Linked DNA regions of Xenopus tropicalis. The protein of the gene in region 2 interacts with the protein of the main gene of each other region in a biochemical or structural test. Links are inferred from orthologs where the notes say so. Each region holds a gene or a part of one and is shown on either strand. Other genes may lie near its edges. The genes, in order: hoxa5 and foxa2.

What was found.
Region 1: the proteins of foxa2 (region 2) and hoxa5 form a complex in vitro, tested with the Homo sapiens proteins (2 studies listed by BioGRID). The link is inferred for Xenopus tropicalis from reciprocal best matches to the Homo sapiens genes FOXA2 and HOXA5.

What each region holds. Positions count from the first base shown.
Region 1 is NC_030682.2:42,178,845-42,188,447, forward strand, and holds hoxa5 (homeobox protein Hox-A5), read right to left. Parts: upstream 6,091-9,603; 5' UTR 6,031-6,090; coding exon 5,457-6,030; intron 4,870-5,456; coding exon 4,619-4,869; 3' UTR 3,858-4,618; downstream 1-3,857. Other genes in the region: hoxa6 (homeobox protein Hox-A6), read right to left, coding at 7,618-7,889, 8,573-9,014. UniProt on the Homo sapiens protein: Sequence-specific transcription factor which is part of a developmental regulatory system that provides cells with specific positional identities on the anterior-posterior axis. Also binds to its own promoter.
Region 2 is NC_030681.2:35,621,384-35,630,836, reverse strand, and holds foxa2 (forkhead box protein A2), read right to left. Parts: upstream 5,431-9,453; 5' UTR 5,401-5,430; coding exon 5,332-5,400; intron 4,497-5,331; coding exon 3,261-4,496; 3' UTR 2,811-3,260; downstream 1-2,810. UniProt on the Homo sapiens protein: Transcription factor that is involved in embryonic development, establishment of tissue-specific gene expression and regulation of gene expression in differentiated tissues.

The DNA.
Region 1 (9,603 bases), on a different chromosome or scaffold from region 2:
TTTGCCTGGATAGATGACTTGGAGAAGTAAACTTTTGACCTCTAACTTTTTGACCTGCAGATGTACAGCGCCGGATCCTTACACACCCAGCAGGCTTGTGTCTTACACTACCTGCTTAATGCAGTCACACACTGCGACTCCTGCGTTTAAACGCAAAATAATAGTTTACCAAACAAATCGAGCTTATTCTGTACAAGGATAATTACGAATTACTTCCTAAGAAAATGCTGCAAAATGTAGATGGCAATCTAACCGAAATCAGTTGAATCAAAATAAAGAATTAAAGAAATGATCAGATAGGAAGGCAAAGTGTGACTGTTTACCCTTAAATTTGCTTTAATTTGTTGGCAAAAAAAAGTTAGTAACTTTTAACTTTTTGTTTTCTAGAGGGAAAAGAAAATCCCAGCTTGCACAGGCAACTGAGTTGTCGGTGAACTTGGTATAAAGCGAGCTCTGCTGGTGATTCCTGGGGTTTGCAGATTTATCTTCACTGCATTTACTTAACCTGGCAGTGAACTGCGCCAGCAGTGATTTGTTAGTCAATGACAGTCTTCACCTTAAGCGAGGGCTGCCTCACAGAATTCCAATTGTTTGAATAGAAACCTTGTGTAAATATTATTTTCAAAGGGAATATTTAAAAGAATACAGAACAATATATATATATATATATATATATATATATATATATATATATATATATATATATATATATTCGCAAAGTGGATAGTTTTGAAAATGTTATATGAGTATACTGGCCCTTTCAGCACTTCAATATATATTATAAGTTGCCACTATTCAGGGCTTTGTGTTAGTGTATGGTATGGAACTGTCACACACAGTAAATAAGCTTTGGTCAGTTTGAATGTGGAACACATGCGTGTGTCTGTTTGTGGATGCATGTGTGTATGTGTGTCGATAAACGGTTATATGAAATCTGCTTAGGTTGGTGGTGAACTGAAGATCTCAAGTTAACTGTTTGTACAATCATAGGTGAAATGAAAATGACATTATGAAAATGAAATTATGTGTTTTTGTAGGTATAAACTTATAAGTACAGGCAACAATAAAAGACAATGTAACAGGCACTAAACACTGAAAACTGCTAGATACAAGGCAAGTCTGTGGCATTTTCAGATACATTATATTACAAAACCATAAAACATATTTATGAGCTGCAACAAATATCAAAGTAACGGGTCGTAAAATGTAACACAAATGTTACGTCAACATAACACAGCAAAGGCAATAAATGCACTCTGTAACCCAAACCTCACACACCAAATAGCTTTACTTCTTTTTAACTGGTAAATCTATATGTAAAAGACCAAGGAATGGTTAGGTTTAGATGGCTAAATAGACAATAGTTCAACAGATGATAGAGACGGATAGATAGATGATAGATAGATAGATAGATAGATAATATAATAGAATGGACACATGGATAGATTGTAGATGACAAAAATAGATAGACTCCATCTGTAGATAGCAAGAACATGTGAACACATCAAAGTATCTTGTAAAAGTTAAATTGTAGTTATCTAGTTACTACACAATACGCGTTTAGACTGAAATGTGTTTCGACATTTTAAAAGATCTCTACAAATAAATACACATATGTGTGTTTGTGTGTGTGTTTGTGTGTGTGTGTGTGTGTGTGTGTGTGTGTGTGTGAAATTAGAAAACCTAGTAAGATAAGTTAAGTGCAGACTTATCATAAAGATAGATGAATGATAGATAGATAGATAGATAATTATTGATAGAAAATAGATAAGAGAAAACGGATATGTGTATATATATATATATAGATGTTACATAGAAAGAAACAGAATTCTTATGATTCACTGCGATTTTTGAATGTTATACTTTAGGAAAGAACTTTATATAAATTACAACTATACATATACATACGTTTGTGTCAGGGATTTTAAAAGTGCAGAGCACAAACAAGAATGATAAATGGATCTTCTCTCACGTCTTATCTCACAGACCACAAAAGCATAAAATGTGGCAATACAAAAACAACCAAAACAACAACTGCAGGGTCTATTGATAAGTTTTATTGGGGCCATATTTTATGCTAATGTGAATGTTTAGTGCGAAAGGTTTTCAGGAAGGCGGAAATCCCTCAGTTACCAAATGTTCCCATTGCCTACCAGCCATAAAGCTAAGACATGGTTGAATTCATGCTTACAATAAGGCTAACAATCCCTCTTATTTCATGCCACTCAGACTCAAAACACCCAAATACATACATAAATATATACCTTTGGTAAAGTTCAAGATGTGAGATGATACAGCCGTGTGGAAAAATCAGGCTTGTGAATAAAAAGGTTGCCAAACACTTTCTCTTCAAATCTGCCCAAATGAAGATGCTTTTCTTATCACCCCCAAATATAGCAACTTAACTCAAAAGGCTACAGTTAATTCTGGCCATAAAGTTCATTGCTGACTAATCACACTGCAGTGTGAACTCACTATTGACTTAAAAGAATGTTGCAGTAAACAGACAGCTGGGGCCTATCCAAATTCCTTCCCAGCCCAGAAATGTACAAACCCTAGCATATATCTTAAGGGGACTCTGGAGTTTTTTCCCAAACAACTAAGCTGCGTGGAAATAGTCTACTTTCACTTTGAAACCTTGTGACTGTTCGTGTGTTTGCAATGAACCAAGGAAGGTAAGTAGTGATACTCTGAGATACATTTGAACCCGGCCAAGGTATTTTCTTTCCAGCATCTGCTTACTAAGCATTTCTTATCTACCATGTAACTAATATCTACCATATAAACCATAGCTAACTAGATATCAAAAGTCATAAAATAAATACAATTAGAGCCCCGCCAAAGTAACAAGGTAATTAACATTTGGCTACAACTGTAGCTGGGAATTTCTGTAACTCTATACCCAACAGACAGCAATGCAGTTACCCTATTTAAGAGGTATGAAAAAAAGAAAAAAAAATATTTAGCTCGTAGGATCCATGGGCCAATCTTTTAACGTTACTATTTAGCTAGTATTCCCTCTCAGCAATATAAAAATAATTATGGATACTACACTTACCTTAACTTTGTAAGCAGCAAGAATCTTGATTCTGGGCAAGGCGGCTGCTAATTAAATAGGTAACTGCCTGCAAGCCTTACGTGTCCTGCTAAAAGCCAAATGATGTCCAGCATCAGTGAGATTATATGATATGTACTATATAATGTTGGTCGTCTACTCCCTAAAACCATAAAACTTACTTTAATAGCCCCACGTGACTTTTTATAGCCAGTGAGCCTATCTGTCTGTGCTATGGAGGATTTTACGATGTAATTCATAGACAAAACCCTATTCATTTGGCAAGCAAATGTCACATAGCCGGAACTAGAGCTTATAAAGTTTACTGTTATATAACTTAAGAAGGCAAGAGGGTAAGCAGTTAGAAGGGGGATCCCTTTCATTGCCATTACAGCCTGAGAAGAGTTAGCTCTCCAAGCTAATGAGAGGTAAGTCCATTTTGAAAGGCTTGAGGTGCTTAGGGATCTGTTATGTAATCAGGGCAGTACTGGGAGCGTAAAAATATCATTTTCTATTTAAGAAAAGAACTTTATTTTCCAGGAGCCATTTTACATGAAGTGTTGGAGTGAGAGTAAATAAAGTGCTTAACACTGTGTACAGTTTAAAGGACCTGTTAATGTGCCTAGGGCCTATGCTATGCTAATATTTTTACTCATTGATCATTGTACATAGATTATAGATTGTCCTGATGAAGTGTTATTCTCAACAACCAGTGATTCACATAGCAGAGCGTTTTTCCATCAATCAAAACACTCACATCCCTAAAAACCATGCACTTCTCAATACAAGCACAACAAAGATCTTCAGTAGAAAGTTTATTTTTTTTGTTGTTGTTTCCAGTCATAATTTTTCTTGAAAAAAAAATTTTTTTTTTACAAAAAAATTGGAACAATTGCGTAATCTGCCAAGCTCCACTATATTATTGAATTTATAAAACAAAACACATTAACCAGACGCTGCGATTCCAGCCATTTTCAGTAAAGTTTCGTGCAAACGTTTTTTTTTTCCTTTTTTTCTTGTTGTGTTTTTTTTTTCTCATTACAAAAGGCACAGCTAGGACAGACACAATTTGTGTCACAGCTACTTAGACAATATCACAAGATAAATTGGACCGCAAAGTCACTTCTACAACATAGTTATTTTTCACAGGAACTCTAGGTAGTTTCATGAAATTGTGGGAGACAGTTGGAAGGCATTCAGACATGGTCACACTACACGAACATATACAGGGGTCTGCAGACACAAAACATCTGTAATAAACGTTTGCTGTCGTAATCTCATTTTTGTACAGTTATTTCAAGTAACACATAAGCGCTTTACATACTCAAATAAGTTAAAACATTAAATTGTCAATACATAGGCATCCAAGGACAAAACATTTACAGGAAGCAGTTGAAGCTATTTCACCCAGTTTAAAGGCTCATTGCTAGGATAAAGGGTAGACAAGATATTAGGGAGGAGGGTATCTTCACAGAAGTCACAGAGAAGAGTTATACAAAGTGGTGGTGACAATATACAGGTTTAGCTAATACTGAATCAGTACATTCTTTAGGGAGGGGAAATTTAAGGACGAAATGCACCCCCAGCCGCTGCCATGCTCATACTCTTTAGTTTATTGTCTTTTTTCCACTTCATTCTCCTGTTTTGGAACCAGATTTTAATTTGCCTCTCAGAGAGACAGAGTGCATGGGCTATTTCAATCCTCCTCCTGCGGGTCAGGTATCTGTTGAAATGAAATTCCTTTTCCAGCTCCAGAGTTTGGTAGCGGGTGTAGGCTGTCCGGGCTCGCTTTCCTTCTGGCCCTCCTATGTTGTCTGCAAGAGGGACACAACATGAGTTAGAGCAAAGGAACATCTTTCTAACGGTGCTCAGACCTACACTGGGCTCTCACTGGGCTCTCAGTGCCTGAGTATGGTACCCACTCACAAGGGGAGAAAATCCAACACTTTATGATAACCTCTACTTTCTGCATCTCTCCCAACAATCCTCATCTGACCGACCCAATTTTTACAAAATATTAAGCTTTTACTTCCCACTTTCATATAGATTTAGAGAGAAAAACATATTTATTCTCCCTCTGTATTTTTGGGCGGCCCTTACAGGTGTTCATTGCCCAAGGCATTGAAACCAAATATCCTGTTGTTTTTTTTAATTATATTTAAAAGTTGAAATACATCATGAAGTTGTGATGGTGCTAAAATGAAAGTGTTCTTTTCAGATCAGATGTGACACCAATAAAATGCAGCTGCCAATTTCCTAATATGCCTGAAATGTTTTGTAGCAGTAATTCTAGTCTAGACAGGCTAAGGCATCAAAAGTTGGACCCTATTCCTTCTGCTGTTTAATTTTTTTTTTCATTTAAAAAATATATATATAGATAAGAGATAGGAGGCGTATTTACCATGGCTTATGTGCAGTTTTCGCATCCAGGGGTAGATTTGGGGTTGCACTGACGGAGCTGGGCTTTGGCTGTTCTGAGAACTTGCCTGGTCGCTGCTTGCTGGGGCATCATCCTCAGCACCAGAAGATGCACCCAGCCCATCTCTGTTAATGTGAGTGCTGGTGCCAGTGCTGCTGTTGCTTGAATTGGACGTGGTGTTGTTGGAGTTAGTTATGGAGTTTTTGCCCCCTTGGTGACTGTCGCTGACAGGCGATGTGGCTACAGCGGTGCAGGGCAGAGGGTCAGGTGGAGGAGAGTGAGCAGACGCTGCAGGTTGGTTATACCTTGGCTCTGTAGAGGAGCTCGGATTGGATGGATAATTCCTTGCTCTGTCATTGGCACTAAAGTGGTTGGAAGCTGAGCGCCCAACGCTGAGATCCATGCCATTGTAGCCGTATCCGTACCTGCTGGAATGCATGCTCGTTGTATCCCTGTATTGCTCGTTCACCGAGCTGTGATCTCCATAATTATGTAACTGGTAGTCCGGGCCATTTGGATAGCGACCGCAAAATGAGTTTACAAAATAAGAGCTCATTTGTTTTTTGATATGTGTGCTTGATTTGTGGCTCTTGGTCGTTTTGCGCGTCTATAGCACCCTTGCACAATTTATGATGAATTATGGAAATGACTGGGACATGTACTTGGTTCCCTCCTACGTAGGCACCCAAATATGGGGTACGACTTGGAATCACGTGCTTTTGTTGTCCAGTCGTAAATCCTGCCTGATGACCTCTAGAGGTAAACTGGTGTACTAGTGGGGGAGCAGGGAGGCTGCTAAGGGAGCGAGCGTTTGTGCGCGGCCCCGTGTAGAGCTGGAAGCTTTTGAGCAGCCTCTTGCGCCACCTTCTGGCTGCCGAACTGTCATTACAGTCTCCCCGGCCAGCAAAGAAGGGACTGCAGGGCCGGGGTCGAATTAAGGTTACATCCCATTACAGGAAAATTATTACATTCCCCTCACAGCTCCATTAGTGAATACCAAATGTACCGGCTCACAGGCACAATCCGGCGCATTAATAGCGGGGGAAATGCACAAAGAGGTTTTGTTTCAAACCCATTCAAAATTCACTTTTTTGGTCATTTTTATTTGTGATATTACTACATTATTTTGTGCCTCTTTGTCAGTCATTGCGTCTGTGAATAGCGCCCAGGTCAATATTATCTGCCACTGATCAGAGCCATTTATGACGGGGAACAAGCAGTGGCAGTTCGGCTCTATTGTCTTTTGAAACATTGTTTTAATTCACGGAAAAACAATGTTTTAAACGATCGCTGTAATATACATTTATGTATGTATATATATGTAATAATCATACTTAGTAGTAATTCTTTTTTCTCTGCCTTGTCCCTGAAAAGCGCCAGCACCTTTCACCGTCCCGTTACCCCCCCCCCCCCCCCAATTAATCCCATACAGTTGTACAATAAAATGAATGGAGTAAATATTGCTAGGAGCCAGGTTGTTGCAGTCTCACCCAAAACTGCCTTTCTGCGCTTCCCCAGGAGAACTGTACATCGCCGCAATATTCCATATAAAGGAGAGAAACGAATTTGCAGGGAGGGATAAGATTTCTAGTTTCTTGTACAGTGAAAATGAAGATCCTGGTATTTAAGAAATCACCAAGCGCAGCACTGGAAACCTTTGTCTGCGACTGTTCGGTTGCATTTTACAAAGAAAGAGCTGATATTCACATTGTTTCGGGCAATGGAAAGGAAATTAGGATTTCCGTTGTTTTTTTTTTTCTTTTGTCTTCCCCATGTTAAGTGCCACTATACGACTATGGGCATTGCAGCAGCAAGTCAAATATAATAGATATGGCGCAGACCCCTGCATAGGGGAGTGTAGCTGGCAAAATTAGAGTCAGGCTGCTCACCGAAAATGAAAAATACAGCCTTTGCTCTAACACAAAACTATTTAGCTGTAGCGTGAGTGTGTGTATGTATATATATAAATATATATATATATATATACACGCACATATTTTTATTAACTAGTGAGCGTCAGTATATGGAATTTCCCAGCTTCTGTGTATAAATAGCGCAATGATGAATTCTTATTTATATCTGTCATATATATAAAAGGGCATCCGAGATCCAGACTGAATAGAAGGAGGCCCGACACGTGTCTTTAGGTGGTGCTTTTCTCCTCCTGTTTGCCTTCTGAGGGGTCGTCGCTGGGGTGGGATGGGAGCAGGAGTTTGCTTTCTTTCTTCCATTTCATCCTTCTGTTTTGAAACCATATTTTGATCTGTCTTTCCGTGAGGCAAAGGGCATTAGCAATTTCAATCCTTCTCCTCCTAGTCAGGTATCTGTTAAAATGAAATTCTTTCTCTAGTTCTAAAGTCTGGAACCTGGTGTAGGTCTGCCTCCCTCTCCTGCCATGGGCACCATACACTGGACCTGGAATAAAGGAATATAGGCATGTCAGCTACCGACACAGAAAATATCCTGCCTCCTTCACTTTAAATCACACATACACAGCAATTAGCAATACATTTCTCTATGTAACTATAGATATTAACACATCCCTTTTTAAGAAATCCACCTACATCCCACCTTATAAATAGAAATGAACTACTTGCCTCTGGGTATGTGTCAAATTCGCAAAATCAATATATATTATACCGATATAGAAATATATATATTTATACTTGCCAGCGTATTTTTCGTGTATGTACCATGAATTAATTTCCTATACAATGCTAATATACAGCAAGCATATTTTGCATGTATTACATGTACCATTGCAACCAGTAACTAATAAATGACACATCTTTGCCAGTTTTTTTTTTTTTTTTGGTGGCAAAAAATACCCACGTGGTTTTGTGCCACTCTTGCAGCGCCACTGTATTGGGATTCTTATTAAATGTAATATAACTATTTCCCTTTTCTTTAAAAGCGGATACACTATAGAATCAATGCAAGTGCAGAGCATTTTAGTGCTGAACTTCCATTGGCTGTCAGTGTGTTTGAAGCAGATTGATAAAGGATCAGGTGTTGGGGTCCCTGTTCCACTTTGTCTCGGTATTTCCCTATATTATTGTTACCAATGTGTATGGAGTGTAGCACAGGCAGGGACTCACCAGTACAAGAGTTGACCCTCTGCATCCAGGGATAGACAGGGCTGCTGTACTTCCGGTCGGTGGGTTCCTCATGTAGCATCTTGCCTTGGGCACTGGCAGATTTATATTGCTGCTGATCGGCGGAGAAATGTAGATATTCCCCACTGTCCCCTCTGTGTTTAGTCCCATATGAGGACGGGCTGCCGCTGCTCTCCTTGCCCGAGTAGAAGCAGGATGCCCCATACTCATAAGAGTTTCCATTGCAGGCAATAAGGGTGTTGGACTGCTGGTAGAAACAGGGTGAGGGGTAGGGCTTGTCCTGCACAGGAGGTGACCCATAAGCGCCCGGAAAATGCCTTAAAGCTTCATAGCCAGATGAGTAGAGGGGGATCTGCCCCACAAACGCCTCTTGTCCATTGGGCAGAGTCCCAGGGAAAGTGCTATTCACAAAGTACGAACTCATTTGCTCTCACTCTCCAGTTCCGTGATTTGTTGTGTATTAGTACATCTGCCTATAACTATTAGCACTCATCCAACTGGTTTGTTTCTGGATGGCCGAGAGCCAAAAGCGACAGAGGCAAATCTGAGCAGCTGATCCCTCACTAGCCAATAGGAAGATGCGATTGTGGCGCTCCCCTGGGACTGGGGTCTGAGCCAGCAAACTTCCAAATTGCACGCAGCTTCCCAGCACATCCATGTACCAATCATGTACTGTTCCCATTGCAGGGAGGGCACTTGGGAAGGATCTTGTTTACAAACTAGAGGAGCGATTTTGCAAAAAAAAATAAAATACATTTCTATTAGCCACAAATTCAAGTTATTGTCCGTTTAAAATGTGCAAAAGTGTTCACCCCTAGGGTGATCCTCAACTGGAGACGCAGGCAATTTATTAGCAGTGCATGATTAAACTAATTACAGTCAGCTAGTGTATGGAATGCATTGCCACACCGGCCACAGGGACCTAGAAAGGGAATAAATAAGCCAGACCTCATATATACATGTTTGTTTTTATTTATATAGCGCTGCTTCTCTATTCAGCATAGTATATTTCG
Region 2 (9,453 bases):
ATTTAACAGTGAAATAACTGCTAAGACAGTGTGACACTGGATGGAACCTTCCCTACAGGCACTTAGCAGTTCTACCTGCAGAGATAAAGTTCCAGTTGCAGGGCTGCCCTACAGACACTTAGCAGTTTTCCCTGCAGAAATAAAGTTCCAGTTGCAGGGATGCCCTACAGGCACTAGTTTTCCCTGTAGAGATAATATTCCAGTTGCAGGGCTGCCTTACAGGCACTTAGCAGTTTTCCCTGCAGAAATAAAGTTCCAGTTGCAGGGCTGCCCTACAGGCACTAGTTTTCCCTGCAGAGATAATATTCCAGTTGCAGGGCTGCCCCATAGACACTTAGCAGTTTTCCATACAGGCACTTAGCAGTTTTCCCTACAGACACTTAGCAGTTTTCCCTGCAGAAATAAAGTTCCAGTTGCAGGGCTGCCCCATAGACACTTAGCAGTTTTCCCCTACAGGCACTTAGCAGTTTTCCCCTACAGGCACTTAGCAGTTTTCCCCAACAGGCACTTAGCAGTTTTCCCCTACAGGCACTTAGCAGTTTTCCCCTACCTGCAGCCGCTCCCGGTAGCTCCGAGCATGACTTCCCCAGCTGCTGAATAGAGGCGGAAGTTTCGCCGAATTTATAGAAGATCTAAGTCACTGTTGACTCTAACACAAAGCAAAGATTTCGCTATTGGGAAAACAAAGAACATTTCAGAGGGGAGATATTGATCAGCTTTATAAAATCTGGGTGGCAGAATGAGTGCGGAGCGCAGGAAAGGGAATATAATAAGTGAGTCAATTTGCTAAAGAGTGACGTGCTGCCGCTGTCGCTGCTGCTGAAAGTTTACCCTCCTGGAATCTGCTGGCGATTTTTTTCTTGTTTACTGACTTTGTTTATTCACAGCTCACGCTCGCTTAAACCAGCAAAGCGCTTGGAAAATAAATGTACTAGTTGCACAAACCCCCACCTTTTTTTTGTACAAAAAGCGCAACCCGCGGAGCCTGGGCGGCAGAGAGGGGCCGAGTGCGGAGCCAGGAGAACGTTCCGCAGGCTGCACTGGGGCTGACAGGCTGACACAGCGGCAATCGCATCGTTTTTATGTATCGGGGCACAACTCCATGTTATCTGCAGGGATCAGTGGGGCAGGACACGCTAAGTAGTTTAAAATGACCGCAGAACAATAGGGAAGTGATAGGGAACATAACAGGTTAGAGCATCACACTGAAAGGGCAATTGTTCCCAAATCAGCGCTATTCTTTGCTCCCATTCTCCTTCCCAGCGGGGAGCCTTTATGTGCTAATGAAACACATTTCTGCTCCCTTCTCAACGTGTGTGTCCTGCCAGTGTGGGGACTGGAGGGCTCTGCCGGGATCCGAGCTGTTTAACCCCCAACAATGTGGATATTAAGAAGGATTTGAATGTTATTTTCCTACCACTATCTATCAGGCCCTGATCGTGTGGGAAAAATGACTCTACAGTGTTTTTCTGCTCCTGATTTTTCCTGACTTTCCTTATGGACTCCCTTGGCTTTCCCAGAGCAGGGAGACTTGCACAGACTGGATATTCCAGCTTTCCCTATTCCCAGGGACACATATCTGGGCAGGTGGCTGGTTCCTAGCATTTCCCTCTCTCTGGGTTATAAACTCTCTCTAAACTACACACATAAACATATTTACATAGCGGCATTTTTCCAGTTCTCTGGACACAATATACTGCCCTGGGAAAATGCTGATCTGAGAGGCCTAGTTTATATGTATATTGGTTTTAACCAACTTTTACTCCTAAAACCCAGGATATGGTGACCTACAGTAAATATATACACACACACACACACACATATATATATATATACACAAACACACACACACACACACACACATATATATATATACACACACACACATAGACCCAGAAAAAGACAGGAAATAATACAATAATAAATACATGTAGAATATGGAGAGAATAATGTTGCACACATTATCTAAATCTGGTGTAGCAGGGAATAACATGGTTTTAGATAGGATATAAAATAACAAATGGCCAACACCTATAAGTCGGCACACCTGTTTAATTTATCATTGGCCGCTCCCACTTAATACATTGCCAAAGTCTAGTTTGATACCGGTGACTGCTGCCAGTCCTGCCCACACACTTCTAGTTTTTATGTTGTGTTTATTTGTTGTGTTTAAATGTGCTTAGACATTGGCTTTCATTTGTTAAATAAAAAAAATCGTTTTATTGTATTTAATGTATAAAATAACCATAAGAATTAGGGTTGGAGCGCAGCTGGCTTTCTTAAAAGTCGCCGTCGGGAATCTACTGTGTTATGGCAAATATTTAAGCATTTATATGTATAAAAAAGAAAAGATTTTGAATATTATCAGGTATGTTTTTCTCCCTTAATTTTCTCTCTACTCAGCCGAATAAAGGTCTCACTGGCATGCACACATGATATTAGTAAGAGGGAATAGGTCACTTTAAAATCAGCCGACTATACAGTAACGAATCTTTATTATTATTATTAGTAACAGTAGTAGTATTTCATGCACTCTAGTACCATGGAAATTCGTTACATAAAAATTCGTTATAAAACTTGCCTGTGAACTAAACCCCCCCAATACAATGGATCCTTTATCTAATCCCATTGTGGCAGAACTTTCATGGACTTGTGAGAAATTGAAGGGAAGTGTCAGCAGAGCAGAACCCTTCAGCCTCCCTGTATCCCACCTTGGTACAGTCCAGACCTTGGCTTGTGCTCACTTATCTGATTCACCTTCAGCCACAAAAATATGTGTATAGAGGTGGAAAGAAAAATCCCGACAGAAATGCCAATTCATTTTTTAATAGAGATTGTTAAACCGGCCGGTTATGGCCAGAATACATACAGCAGTCATAAATAAAACATACAGAAACCATAAATTAACCAGTTTCAAGCATCTCCCCCAAACAAATAAAAAAAAAAAACATCTTTTTTTTCAATTACATCAATATATTCCGTTTCTGTTTTTTTTAACATTACCAATATCACACAATTTTGGTCCTTAGGGAAAATTAACAGATTTCACACAGAAAAATTAGGATCCGTCACTTTCACAAAAATATACTCCTTGCCAAAGAAAAGCACCCAAATCAAACATAGCTTAACAAGCTAAGCTCCTATACAGAAACAAACTCGGGGGACTGTACAATTCAATAGGAATGTAGACACATACTATGTTGTTTTTCTTCTTAATATTATATACACAGAGCCCAGGTGACAAGTCCATGGTAGAAAGTCTATGAGGAGTTCATGATAGGTCTAGAATACACACCTTGATAGTATGAGGTGTCACTGGAAATAGGTGAAGACTCTAAGCCACTTTTGTTTGTTACTGTGCTCATTGCCAGGCTGCCAGTCATGGGGGACCCGTAACCAGAGTAGTGCATCACCTGTTCATAAGCTTTTAAGTCCATTTTATGGTGATGATGGTGGTTGTGGTGGTGGTGATGGTGGTGCTGTTGCTCTGAGGACATGAGGTTGTTGATGGAGAATGGGTGGTTGAAAGAATAATGGTGTTCTGGTTTGAGGTGGGACTGGGCTTCATGGGACAAGACAGAGTGGTGCTGGGAAAGCAAGTGCTGGGCTTGGGAGGCTGGGGAGGCTGCATGGTCTGGGCTTAAGCCTTGGCTGGACTTCATATCTACTAGAGACCTCTTCTGCTCCTGGCAGGGGGACGAGCTGGAGTGCGGGGACTCATTGCCCACTGAGCTCTCAGAGCTGCTGTTGGCTGCAGAGCCCACACTCGATGACCCTTCTGAGAGTTTCTTGCCTCCCCCTTCTCTAAGGCTGGGCTTTTTCTCGCACTTGAAGCGTTTCTGTCGCCTCAGGTAACAGCCATTCTCAAACATGTTGCCCGAATCGGGGTGTAGGGTCCAGAAGGAGCCCTTTCCGGGCTTGTCAGGGGACCTGGGCACCTTGAGAAAACAGTCATTGAAGGAAAGAGAATGGCGGATAGAGTTCTGCCAGCGCTGCTGGTTCTGCCTGTAGAAAGGAAACAGGTCCATGATCCACTGATAAATCTCGCTGAGAGTGAGCATCTTGTTGGGGGACTGCTGGATCGCCATGGTGATGAGCGAGATGTACGAGTAGGGGGGCTTCGCATGCGTATAACTGCGCCTGTAAGTCTTGGGGTCCCTGGATCTGTTGATGTTGGACTGTCCATAGATTGGGCTCATTGAGTTCATGTTGGTATAGGGTGCCAGGGCATTCATAGAAGTAGCCTGGGCACTCATCGGGCTCATACTGGGGCTGAGGTGACTTGCCATACTGGCTACCCCGGTGCCCATTCCAGTCATTGCCCCGGTGCCAGGAGACATGCCGGTGAGCGATGGGCTCATCCCAGTATTCACATAGGACATGTTCATGGAGCCGGCGGTCATGTTGGCCGAGGTGCTCATAGCAGACATGCTCATGTACGTGTTCATGGGGTTCATGCTCAGCCCGGCGTTCATGTTACCCACCGAGGAGTAAGCCTGGGAACAAACGACAGGGTCACAATCTAAAAGTCGCAAAATCAACAGCAACCTGTGGCCCTCCGGCTCTGGCTGAAACACACTGTCCGTGGAGGCAGACGTGGAAGGCTGGAAGATGTAGTTCAGCAAGAGCTCGGAAGTCACAGGTTGTAGAGACACATGTACAACTCGTAGAACGTTTTCTTCTGTTAATGTTAAACAACTCGGGCTTAAATCATGTCAAATAATATTAAATACAATATACATACATATATATAGCCCCTCTAGAAAAGATCAATAAATATTTATTTATACGTTTCTCTATACCTGCCCAGTTATAAGGCTGCCCACACATTGCTATTCTGACCCTACTGTTGATTCCATAATAAAGAAAACGAAAGTGTCAAATATTCAGAGACCCAGAAATGCTAAAAAAACAACAAAAAACGAAATAAAATGATTTAAGGAATATAGCAGCCCCTCTCCCCCCAAGCCAGCCTTGGGAAGCCCTTTGGGTATAAGGGTTCTTACTAAAGACAACTCCAGGAGAAAATCAGGAAAATGTCCATATTTAGTACAAACTGTTCTTCCTGAAAGTGTGATTAGTTAAATTCACAAGTATAATCTGTTTTTTTTCCATACAATTCCCCTTGCCTGTGCCCATTGCCTTGCCCCCCCTGCCCATGCCAAACAGAACTTTGTTGGGACAGTGTGTGGCTCAGTCATCGAGGAGGATTTGGAGGCGCCACAAGTCAATATTTGATGACCAAGTTAATATTATCCCAGGGCTAACAGTGCGCTATAAAGAGGCAGAATGAGGCAAGGATTGTGCCATTAGCGACAAGCGGCTCTTTACCTCGGGTTCCCCGTAGTAGCTGCTCCAGTCTGTGGCTTCGTGTCCTTCCATTTTCACAGCCCCGAGCATACTGGAAGCTGAGTGCCTGGCAGTTTAAAATTTAACTGCCACAACAACTACGACAGCGATAGCAACAAAAAGAGAGAGAGTGTGAGGGAGCCAGGAACCCTCCCTCTTCCTCTCTGATCACTAGGAGGGGGAAGGCTGGAGGTGGCTGCTGCTGCTGCTGGGCTAGTGTTGGGCACAAATGGACAGCCAGAGGGGCTGCTCAATGAGTGGGATGGGGTTTCAGGGAAACTGAAGTAGCAAGAGGTGCTGCAGGGGGTGAAAAAGACCTCAGGGTGCTGCTGCTGAGGAGGAGGATGATGATGATGACTCCAAGTCTAGTAGTGACGTTGCTGCAGGGTGATATAGCACCCAGCTCCAGGCAAACCTCCAATCCCCAGGTCTTCGCCTGCCCATTTGAATAATCAGCTCACACCTAAGTGCCAGACTGTTCCTTGGCCCTGCTATTCTACACCTGCCTTAAACCTATTTGAATAGATTCATTAAGCTTTAATCTGATTGTGCACTTCCCTAGGGGAGGAGTGGGGATTGGACGAGAGAAGGACACAAACTCACTTTATTACCCAATTTTTTTGTTCCTCTACATGGATATGGGAGAAACTGTAGTCACCTAAACTGGCAGATATCTTATTAACTGATACCAAAGCAAAATACAACTCCCCAACACACATTATTTTATACACCATTTTATTTTATTGAATTCACAATCAATATGAATGGCAAATAACTGGGACGCATATACAGATAATAGAAATAAGAATTATTACTCCCACATAAGATAATTGGTTGCGATTTATTTCAGAACCAATGAAAGTGCAATTAGGTAAAGGTTTAACGATAAATAACAGAAATAGAATAAAGTGATAATGCAATAAGGTTACATTTTTAATCTCACCACAATCAGGAAAATTCCATTCCAATTTGATACAAAGTCCTGTGAATCTTTACAGAAAGTTACCTTAAAAACCCAGATCCCAGGGAAAGGGAAATGCCAAAATAAAAATTTATTACAGATAATACATTTGAGTATGAAAACCTATCCACAGCATCGACTCAAAGAGACGAAATGTTCTACGATCTTGTTGTATTCCTTCCAATCTTGCCCCAGAACCGACGATAATCCACTTGCATAAAATATAATAAAATAGATTTGTTCTGTATTTTGTATAGTGTCTGCTCCATCTGCCTGAGATCTGTCATTTGCCGCCCGTTCCGACTGAACTAAGCGCACAAGCAGAGCTGCAACATATATTTATTCTGGAGGGCACGTTTGCTGTTTGAGATATTAAACAAAGTAAAGTTTATTTAACGTGTTTGATCATCGCAGATTTAGCAGATCGTCTCAGGGATGGTCAATAAATTGGGCCTTAGGAAAACAAGGAAATTCTGAAGAGGAATAAAGCGTTGCCTTTCGTTTGAACAGCCCTGCAATGTACAGAAAGCTAATCTTGTACAATGAGGGGAAATTACTAATAATAAAATAAAACAGAACGCACAAGCTGTATACAGTAGGGAGGTGGGAGGCATGTGTCTAAATACACATTGTTTATATACTAGGCTTTGACTGTATGTATACTGAGTGTAATGTACACACACACACACATATATATATATATATATATATATATATAGATAGATGATAGCTAGATAGATTTATATATTAAAATTTAAAAATAATTTATATTTATGTATACACATTCACAAGCACACCTATAATAATTTTATTATAAAAGCGCAGCAAAACACCCAGAAGCTCTAGACAATCAAATGCAATATAATAAACTAGGAACCAGCCACAAATACTTCACTATTTATTTATACAAATCTATATGGGGCTGCCTTTAATTATATAAATTAGGTTTATACCAAAATACAGCTATAAGGATACCAACTAGGACGTTTCTATTTTTTTTTATAATGGATAACTAGATAGAGTTATATATTAAAATATTTGCAAAGTGCAAATCTTATTAATTATTAATAAATCAGCTATAAACTGGCAACAGAAAGTTAGAATATAATCTAAAAATATAAGGCTAGGAAAGACAGGGAAATGCAGAAAAAATTCAGTGCAACAGCTAGACATGATGTGGATATTATCTCAGCAAAGTAGTAAGAGAGCGCCCCCTAATGTTAAGTCACTGCACTTGCTTTTAGGCAGGACTCTCGCAAGATCAAGACGTCTTTTTTCTTGGGCTCAGATCCGCTAAAGGTCGATATTTCACAAAGTGTAAATGTAATTTAAAAATGAAAAAAAATATGGACTTATTCACTAATAAAAAATAGTTACCTATGAGAGCCCATTTACAGTGTTAATAGGCGTATTATAAAGACAATCTAAAAAGTAACAGTTATAAAAAAGGATAATAAAGCCGCCATTCCATTGAAAAGAGGCACACACATTTATATGTATTTATCCAAGTGTTTGAAATGAAAAATCGAACTATTATTTTTTTGTACAACACCAGGATATCCCTGAGAAACCCCCAATCTTTTGATTGTGATTTAGCACTGTTTAGTAAACCTGGGCCAGTATAACAGAAGTATTTTTAGGGAGCCAGCTAAACCTGTGAATTCTGTGTCTGCCCAACTGCAGAATAGTAGGCAATTCTCCCCCCCCAACACCTGTTTGTCATTAGGCTAATATCCAGGTCTCAGTGCCAAACATTGGCAAAGGGTGGCAATACCAATATATAAGTCAGTGGAGGGCACTCAGACACCTCTATCACAAATTAAAGCATACAGATTTTGTGCAAATAAAACGCCCAATAAATACCCCCATATGGAGTACTAAAAATCAATGTATTTTATGCAAATAAGAGCTTGCACACAAATAATCACTGTGGTAGGATAAAAAGAATTGTCTTTTATGAAATCTCAAGGATTCCCCTTGAGAAAGGCTTTCTTTGCCGAAACGTTGGGGTAATTCTCATCTCTGGCAAGTGTACCACTAACTTGTGTGTCTTTTTTACGGTTTGCAAATTTGTGGTGTATGTATTGTCTTTTTATAAACTCTGTAAATTAAAACTATGTATTGTATTAAAACGGATTAATGTTATCTTACTGCATATCTTACATAAAAGACAATTATTTTTAATACTGACACAGTGCCAGTGATTATTTGGGTGCAAGCCTTTATTTGCATAAATGGGTGGCATACCGTCTTGGGCTGAGATGCCAGTGCCCACCAGAAAACCTTACACCAGGGATCCCCAACCTTTTATACCTGTGAGCCACATTCAAGTGGAAAAAGTGTTGGGGACCAACACAAGCATGAAAATGGTGTGCCAATAAAAGCTATTATTGGCTATTTGATAGACCCTATGTGGACTGGCAGACTATAGAAGGCTCTGTTTGGCATTATACTTGGTTTTTATGCAATCAACACTTGCCTCCTTACTAGAAATTAAAAAATAAGCCCCTGCTTTGAGGTCCATGGGAGCAATCCAAGGGGTTGGGGAGCAACATGTTGCTCACGATCCACTGGTTGGGGATCACTGCCTTACACCATGGGCCTGCTCTCTAAACTATTATTCCTTATCCTCTCCCTCAACCGCTTTATTATCCTATTCCTAATCTCTTTTCACTACATACTTGTGTATACTCTATTAAGCCTCTTGTTCCCATACAAAAATAGGGAACAACCATGAAATATGCCAAATAGGAGCAGGAGGGCCCACTGACACCTGGGCTCACCAGGAGTTTACCTAGTATACTGGTGGGCAAGTCTGACATAAATGGGTGAAAGACAATGCTGCAATCCTTCTTAGCACAAGTCACAGGCTTCCCACATGGATGCAACTCTCTCACTAATGCTCCTACCTTTCCCCATTTGCCTTGCTCCTGTGCTTACTCTGCATGATGGGTCTGCATTAGAGAGACCTACAGACAACTTAAAAGGTTATTTAGTAAAAAATGCAACATTTGCTGTAGGATAATAACACAGAACAACCAATTGGAAATTAGCTTTTAAAAAGCCGATAAATGGCTGGGTGTTAGTTGGTTGCTATTTGTTACCACCCTGGAGGAAACTTTGCAATAGGAGCCATATTATTA